2 linked regions of the Saccharomyces cerevisiae S288C genome follow. The protein of the gene in region 2 binds, or shares a complex with, the protein of the main gene of each other region. Links are inferred from orthologs where the notes say so. Each region holds a gene or a part of one and is shown on either strand. Other genes may lie near its edges.

The links. The genes of interacting proteins can lie anywhere in the genome.
Region 1: the proteins of MAS1 (region 2) and QCR2 are in contact, whole or in part, in a cryo-EM structure (PDB 8AB7), measured with the Yarrowia lipolytica proteins. The link is inferred for Saccharomyces cerevisiae S288C from one-to-one orthologs. Residues at the interface, in XP_500073.3 of Yarrowia lipolytica: Val26, Ser27, Pro28, Leu48, Val49, Gln50, Thr51, His74, Glu77, His78, Phe81, Lys82, Gln89, His90, Leu92, Glu93, Leu94, Ile96, Glu97, Asn98, Met99, Gly100, Gly101, His102, Leu103, Asn104, Ala105, Lys117, Ser118, Phe119; in XP_505169.2 of Yarrowia lipolytica: Gln35, Asp36, Gly37, Gln38, Ser39, Pro40, Ile41, Ala77, Leu78, Val81, Arg82, Glu85, Leu86, Phe87, Gly88, Lys90, Leu91, Gln105, Leu107, Glu134, Arg135, Val139, Leu142, Ser275, Met276, Pro277, Trp278, Ser279, Val280, Gly281.

What each region holds. Positions count from the first base shown.
Region 1 is NC_001148.4:917,730-921,436, forward strand, and holds QCR2 (ubiquinol--cytochrome-c reductase subunit 2), read left to right. Parts: upstream 1-1,651; coding exon 1,652-2,758; downstream 2,759-3,707. Other genes in the region: RPC82 (DNA-directed RNA polymerase III subunit C82), read right to left, coding at 1-1,312. UniProt on the Saccharomyces cerevisiae protein: Component of the ubiquinol-cytochrome c oxidoreductase, a multisubunit transmembrane complex that is part of the mitochondrial electron transport chain which drives oxidative phosphorylation.
Region 2 is NC_001144.5:491,038-495,104, reverse strand, and holds MAS1 (mitochondrial processing peptidase), read left to right. Parts: upstream 1-1,850; coding exon 1,851-3,239; downstream 3,240-4,067. Other genes in the region: pseudouridine synthase PUS5, read left to right, coding at 1-611; protein SHH4, read right to left, coding at 716-1,222. UniProt on the Saccharomyces cerevisiae protein: Catalytic subunit of the essential mitochondrial processing protease (MPP), which cleaves the mitochondrial sequence off newly imported precursors proteins. Preferentially, cleaves after an arginine at position P2.

The DNA.
Region 1 (3,707 bases), on a different chromosome or scaffold from region 2:
CCTCCTCTTCGTCTTCTTCTTGTGTATCTCCACTTTCTTGAAGAGATTTGGAAACAGCAGCAGGTAGCGCCGGGATCACAAATCCATCTTCGGTTTTTAATTTTTTACTGGGTAATGATGCAGCAGCGTTTGAGCCAGAACGCTTTTTATTGTCAGAGGGCTTTCTAGATAATAAGCTTCCACGCAAGTCCAATTCTGCGGGGAGATGTCTTGCCAAGTCAATAGCATTAAAGGTAAGCCCTGGTGTCTTCTCCTCAACAAGTTCGGCTTCGTCTTGAAACGATTTTGCTTCCTCCAAATCTTGTAAAAGCCCAGTTTGAGTTAGTGGATCTCTAATTTTAGGAGACTTTTGCTCTGTGAGTCTTAATGCAATTTTGTAAACTTGAGCTGTGACGGAGCCGACTCTTGTCTTGGCCAAGTTAATCAATTGTTTAGATCTTCTACCTTTCATAAATCTATCCAAATTAATCGTCAGAGAGACTGTAGGTTTAACAATCCTCAATGAGGTCTTTGGATCAACCGTTAAGATTTGTGAAAGCTCATTTGGTTTATTTATGATTTTGGCAAAATCAGTTTTCGCATTCATCTTGGCTTGGGATCTTTTCTTCAAATCGGACAACGGGGAGTTTCTGGGAATATTTTTGTAATGTTTTTCATATAAAAATTGCCAGAGATCTTCGATTGGGGTATAATGCAATTTTGATATTTGAATAAGATATCCCATTTCACACAGTTGCACGAATAGTGATGAAATGGTGTACTTCATGGAATCTGACGTGACACTACTTAGATAATCTTCCACTGTTAAGGACCCTAATGATATAACGTTTTGTACAATTTCAGCCACCAGCTGTTTATGCTCCTCTTCGTCGTTTACACGCATTTGCGTAATAATTTCGTCAATAATCAACCCTGAGTAGAGTAAAATGTGTATCCCTTCCTCGTTATAGTAATAATAAGTCGTTTTTTTCCCGGATATTGCTGTTTCTTGCAGGTACTTAACACACCTTAATTGAGTTAATGAGACTAGTGTCGTCTTGACGCTGTCTACATCCATACCATCTATTTTCTCCACTAACTCGCGCACACTCAATCTGCCCAGCGCAACCAACATCCCAATTACAGAAGCTGCTCTTTCACCCAGATGTGCCTTCACCAACTCTTTGTAAAGAAACAAATCGGGATTCAAGGTTCTCTGTTCCAAGGATGATATGGTCATAACATCTTCGGGGGTGACCAACTTCTCAGATTCGACAGTGCTCTCACCTGTTTGGTTCTCTGCACTAAGCGCTTCTCCCAGTAACTCGTCCATTTGGATCTTGCTCAACAAAAATTTTTCCCTATTCCTGTGTCAGCAATTCTCTATTGTTCTCAATATTTCTTCCACTATTATTATTTTGATCCAAAATTATTTTTTTCCTTCAATGCGATGAGCTTTTGAAAAATTTCTGATCATTCCCAACGAACCAATAGAAGGCCCGCCCCGTCTTATATCCGTTAGCCTACCAAATATATATATAAAGAACAAGGGCCTTTCCTCAGAGCGTTTGCTGACGAAGTTTTAGAAGTTAATAAGGTTTTTAACAGCAGTGTGCTCGAACGATTAGGACGGGAGAGTTAAAATTATTAAAAGGAAAAAAGAAGAACGTTGATGTTGTCAGCAGCTAGATTGCAATTTGCCCAGGGGTCAGTTAGAAGGTTGACCGTTTCCGCTAGAGACGCACCTACTAAAATATCTACATTGGCTGTTAAGGTCCATGGAGGGTCTCGTTATGCAACCAAGGATGGTGTGGCCCATCTTTTAAACAGATTCAACTTTCAAAACACGAACACTAGATCAGCTTTGAAATTAGTCAGAGAATCCGAATTATTAGGGGGAACTTTTAAGTCTACCTTGGATAGGGAATACATCACTTTGAAAGCTACCTTTTTGAAGGACGACCTTCCCTACTACGTCAATGCCCTAGCAGACGTGCTATACAAGACTGCCTTCAAACCTCACGAGCTCACCGAATCTGTTTTGCCTGCTGCTAGATACGATTATGCGGTCGCTGAACAATGTCCGGTAAAGAGCGCCGAAGACCAATTGTATGCCATTACATTCAGAAAGGGTTTAGGAAACCCATTGTTATACGATGGTGTGGAAAGAGTCAGTTTGCAAGATATCAAGGACTTTGCGGACAAAGTCTATACCAAGGAGAACCTTGAAGTTAGCGGTGAAAATGTTGTTGAGGCCGATTTGAAAAGATTTGTTGACGAGTCACTGTTAAGCACTTTGCCTGCAGGTAAGTCATTGGTGAGTAAATCCGAACCAAAATTCTTTTTGGGTGAAGAAAACAGGGTAAGGTTTATCGGTGACTCCGTTGCCGCCATTGGTATCCCGGTAAACAAAGCCTCCCTAGCTCAATATGAAGTATTGGCCAACTATTTGACCTCTGCCCTATCCGAGCTTTCCGGTTTAATCAGCTCGGCTAAACTTGATAAATTCACTGACGGCGGCCTATTTACTCTGTTTGTAAGAGACCAGGACAGCGCCGTGGTATCTTCCAACATCAAGAAAATTGTTGCGGATTTGAAGAAGGGCAAGGACTTATCCCCTGCAATAAATTACACAAAGTTAAAGAATGCCGTCCAAAATGAATCTGTTTCCAGCCCAATTGAACTAAATTTTGACGCCGTGAAGGACTTTAAGTTGGGAAAATTCAACTATGTAGCCGTCGGTGATGTTTCCAACTTGCCATATTTGGACGAATTGTAAGAGGAAAGTATTTGTACAAAACGAAAAACTAAAGGCAAATATATATATAGATGTTGCCGCGCACCTTTTTTTTAATGAATATTCACACAAATATTGAAAATAAAAACAAACAAAATTCAAATAACAACATGTAAGACCAAAAAAAAATCCCTCATTATTTATTCCTTACCCTTTCCAAATTCTTACTATACTAGTAAATATATATTTAATTATCCTTTTTTCTACTTCAGCATACAATCCTTCTTTTGCCGCAGGTTTATAGTTAGACCCCTCAATTCTGTCAAGTTTCAGTGGTACGTTATTTTATGTCTCATCTCACGATCCTGGCAAAAAAAGAAAGGCATGTAATTTGAGGAGGCGATTCACCCTCATTTTTACGCAACAACAATGCTGTGTGGCTTACACGCCTCTGCGTACATATCTACATATTTAACGGTCCTGTATTTTCAAGCACGCAAGGCTGAAATAAACGGTTGTTTGCTTATGCGCGATGCACTCCGCCGAACATCACCGCAAAAGCACCGTAGGCGGAGATCTCCCAGCTAGTATGGGCATGACGGAACCACGATTTCCAGATATAGATACTTAAAAGCACTAAAAGGTCTATACATAAAACGCAGACTTACGTAAGATACATAGCAACTGCCGATATGGACGCCGCCATGCCGAATGACAAAGGGAGAATGTAGTACTAATTGATATCGTCTTATCCTCTCAGGAATGCAAACTTAAAACATACTTTCTCCCGTCCTAACAACGCCGGTTGTCGACGATAAATACCCCAAGAAATGCCCGCACAGAATCTCCTCCGTTAGGTGGTCATGCCCCGAGGGTGCGAGGTTGTTTCCTGCACGGTAAATCGGGATGCCATGAAAGCCGGCCCTCCCCACGCGTCCCCTAATTTTTTTCCAAGTGAATATCTGCATCGGCCACCGTTTTATATTACTTC
Region 2 (4,067 bases):
AGGCTATTTATTATTCACATAGAGAAGTAGAATTATGTCGTACTGTACATAGGTTAGACCATTGTGTTACGGGGGGGATGCTGATTGCAAAGACTAAAGACGGAAGTGTAAAATTCTCTAGATTTTTACAAAAGGGCGGCAACAACGGTTATAAGTTGCAAAGAAAGTATGTAGCTATTGTCGAGTCGTCCGGTCGTTTCAACAAACCAAATAACTATGAAATTAAATATGGTCCTAAATATAATTTCTTGATTTCACATGGTGGTAGGGAGATTACTAAGTTCAAAGAAGTTGACGAAAATTGTATTGTTTTACAATTGGTTACAGGAAAAAAACATCAGATTCGAAATCACGTCTCTCAAATTTTAAATCAGCCCATATTAAACGACAAGAGACATGGCAGCACTGTCAATTTTCCAGAGTTGTTCAATGACCAAATAGCGTTGCATTCAGCGTGCATAATAACGAAAATTGGCCTGCAAACTAAAACGCACTTGATACCTATGGAACACAATAATACTGGCCAACTTTGGTCAAGAAAATACGTCAATGAAGAGGGTGAGTTCACTTTGCCCATAAAAGAAGTCCTGTTGGAAAACTGGGACCAGTAAAATAAGCAATAAATAATCGGTTATTAAATTATTTCTAATACACATATATAACGAGAATAAAAAAGGTAGTCACCACTAACCAAACCATATTGATTAATTGATGATTACTGCCTCTTTTTTTCCACAGGTTTGTTATCCCATAATGATTTTAAAGAGGCAATAAGACCAGCTTCTTGACTCTCTAATTTATATATACCGACGAACGATAAAAAGGAGCCCAAGCTCAATAAATACATCGCGTAATGATGTACCTTTCCATAGACTCTTTCAGAAATATAGTCTATAATGCAAGACTGAAATCCGATATGACAATGACCTAGCAGGACCAAGGAAAGAAATGTGTCGGTAAAAGTGGAAATAGGGCCTGTAGTGACCAAGGGAACTGCGATCAGCGGAAGAACCGCTAAGGACAGTCCGCGCTCGACAATCCAATGGTACGAACCCTGAGCTCTGCTTTCGGGCGGCATATAAGAGGAATCATTTGCGGTCCCACTCACACCTCCAGGTTTCTGTGGAATCTTTGGCAGAAAAGGAATGGTAAAGGATCTGGCAATTGAAGTATGAAAAGCCCTTATTCTGCAGAGTGGTTTCAAAAACTTAGTCGATGACATTCCTACTTTCCTAAGAATTGGGGCAACCTTTTTGAGAATCGTTGCTGATTCATTAGAACTGATAAACGGTCTGTCCACTGGGGACTGAAAATATATAGGTTTGCTTCTATGAAATTCGACGTCAAAATTAAGGGATACCTATGGCCAGCGCCCTTCAACTGACGATTTTTAGTTATCATACGCGTCCCTTATTATCTTAAACCGTAATAAAAAATCGTTACTTCGGATAAGGGTACTCCAATCTGGATGTGAGAGTCTGATAGTACCATGTTAGAGCCGCGTTGAAGGTGCGAATCAGGGTTTTATTCTCCTTAAACTTGATCCCGTCCAAAGGAGTTAAGAAGTAAAATGCACGGCTTTACTAAGACTATATTTACGTATTAAATTCCTCAACACGTAGTGAGGAAAGCTAAAATGCTGAGCTTAATTTCTCAGCCAACAATGGGTGATACTACTGTTCAGTGCACAGATTAGATGACCAATATTATTTTCACGTATTTAGTGATATTCGTAATCGAGCTGGACTCATCTCTTTAGTAATAAGAAGTGAATTTGAACGCTATGGATAAATCATGATATCTTGCTCTCAGGCATCAAACTAGTGCGCAAAGTGATAGGTGATCATACAATGTTTTCAAGAACAGCATCCAAGTTCCGTAATACACGGAGGCTTTTAAGTACAATTTCCTCACAAATTCCAGGAACCAGAACCTCTAAACTTCCTAATGGGTTGACAATTGCCACAGAGTACATCCCCAACACATCTTCGGCTACTGTTGGAATATTTGTCGATGCTGGTTCTAGGGCAGAAAACGTAAAAAACAATGGTACAGCGCATTTTCTAGAACACTTGGCTTTCAAGGGTACTCAGAATAGGTCACAACAAGGAATTGAATTGGAAATTGAAAATATCGGATCTCATTTGAATGCATATACATCAAGAGAAAACACAGTTTATTATGCTAAGTCCCTACAAGAAGATATCCCAAAGGCTGTTGATATTCTAAGTGATATTTTGACTAAGTCAGTTTTAGATAATAGTGCTATTGAGAGAGAAAGGGATGTCATCATCAGAGAAAGTGAAGAGGTGGACAAGATGTATGATGAAGTTGTTTTTGACCATCTTCATGAGATTACGTATAAGGACCAACCTTTAGGAAGAACCATTCTGGGTCCTATAAAAAACATAAAATCAATAACAAGAACTGATTTGAAAGACTATATAACCAAGAACTATAAAGGCGACAGAATGGTATTGGCAGGTGCGGGCGCTGTTGATCATGAAAAATTGGTACAGTATGCTCAAAAATACTTTGGCCATGTGCCCAAATCTGAATCGCCTGTCCCGTTGGGATCACCAAGGGGCCCATTACCAGTTTTTTGTAGAGGTGAAAGGTTTATCAAAGAAAACACGTTACCTACAACACATATTGCTATCGCATTAGAAGGCGTGTCATGGTCTGCACCTGATTATTTTGTAGCTCTGGCAACACAAGCGATTGTTGGTAACTGGGACAGAGCCATTGGCACAGGTACAAACTCCCCCTCTCCATTAGCTGTTGCAGCAAGTCAAAATGGTTCTTTGGCTAATTCTTATATGTCATTTTCCACCTCTTACGCTGATTCAGGTCTGTGGGGAATGTACATAGTAACTGATTCTAATGAGCATAACGTGCAGTTAATTGTTAATGAGATCCTGAAAGAGTGGAAGAGAATAAAATCTGGCAAAATATCGGATGCAGAGGTGAATAGGGCAAAAGCTCAGCTAAAGGCAGCTCTGTTGCTATCGTTGGATGGATCGACAGCCATTGTAGAAGATATAGGCAGACAAGTGGTGACCACAGGTAAAAGATTATCACCAGAAGAAGTTTTCGAGCAGGTTGATAAAATCACTAAGGATGATATTATTATGTGGGCAAATTACAGATTACAAAACAAACCAGTTTCAATGGTTGCCCTAGGAAATACATCCACTGTCCCTAATGTATCCTATATCGAAGAAAAACTGAACCAATGACCACGCCGATTTATTAGTAAGTTCATTTCACATCTCTGCTAATTTCTAATTTCTCTTCATACTTGTATAAAGTTCTATGTCAATAAATTCTTGTTCAAATGAGATGTTGCTACATAAAAAATATGAATAGATATCGGCGGCTCTAGTACCCATTCCCCAAAACACGATGTCGGTATATTAACAGCACGTGTATTTTCTTTTTTGAAGGATACATTAATACTTTCTTCCTAAAACTGCACTTATAGTGGGGTGTGAAAGGGCCCTTCCCGTATTCAATATTAAAGCAGCCCTTCAGATTGCAAAAAATGCACAATAAATTTGTTAATATAAGCCACAAGCCAAAAAAAAAAAAGTGATGCAATTGTATATACTTAACATAAAGATTTTAAGTTATCCGTTACCATTGCATACAGAATTATCCAGATAATACTGTTTACTATGCTCATCGATCGTTTCATATTGGTCATTGCCTTGAAAAAAAAGCACGTGAAAAAAATACTGTGAGACCTTTTCTTGCAATATCTCGATCAGATAGCATCTGTAGCTTTCCATTTAGCTGAACACATCACACTGATCTGATAAACACCATTATATCTTCGGTATTATTTACTGAATTTTCCCTTATAGCAGCAAGGGAAAGCAATAATAAACGTGCTACTAAAAGTTTTTTTAGTCATCGCTCAATGGAGGTCAGCACAATACTGTGTGATTGGTCATAATAATTGCATTGTAGAATATCTGCCAATGAATATGTACCTACCTCTTCATATCTCTGAGCAGTAAATACCTCTCGATTTCGCTGCTTTTTCGCCAGGAACATTAAGCTGT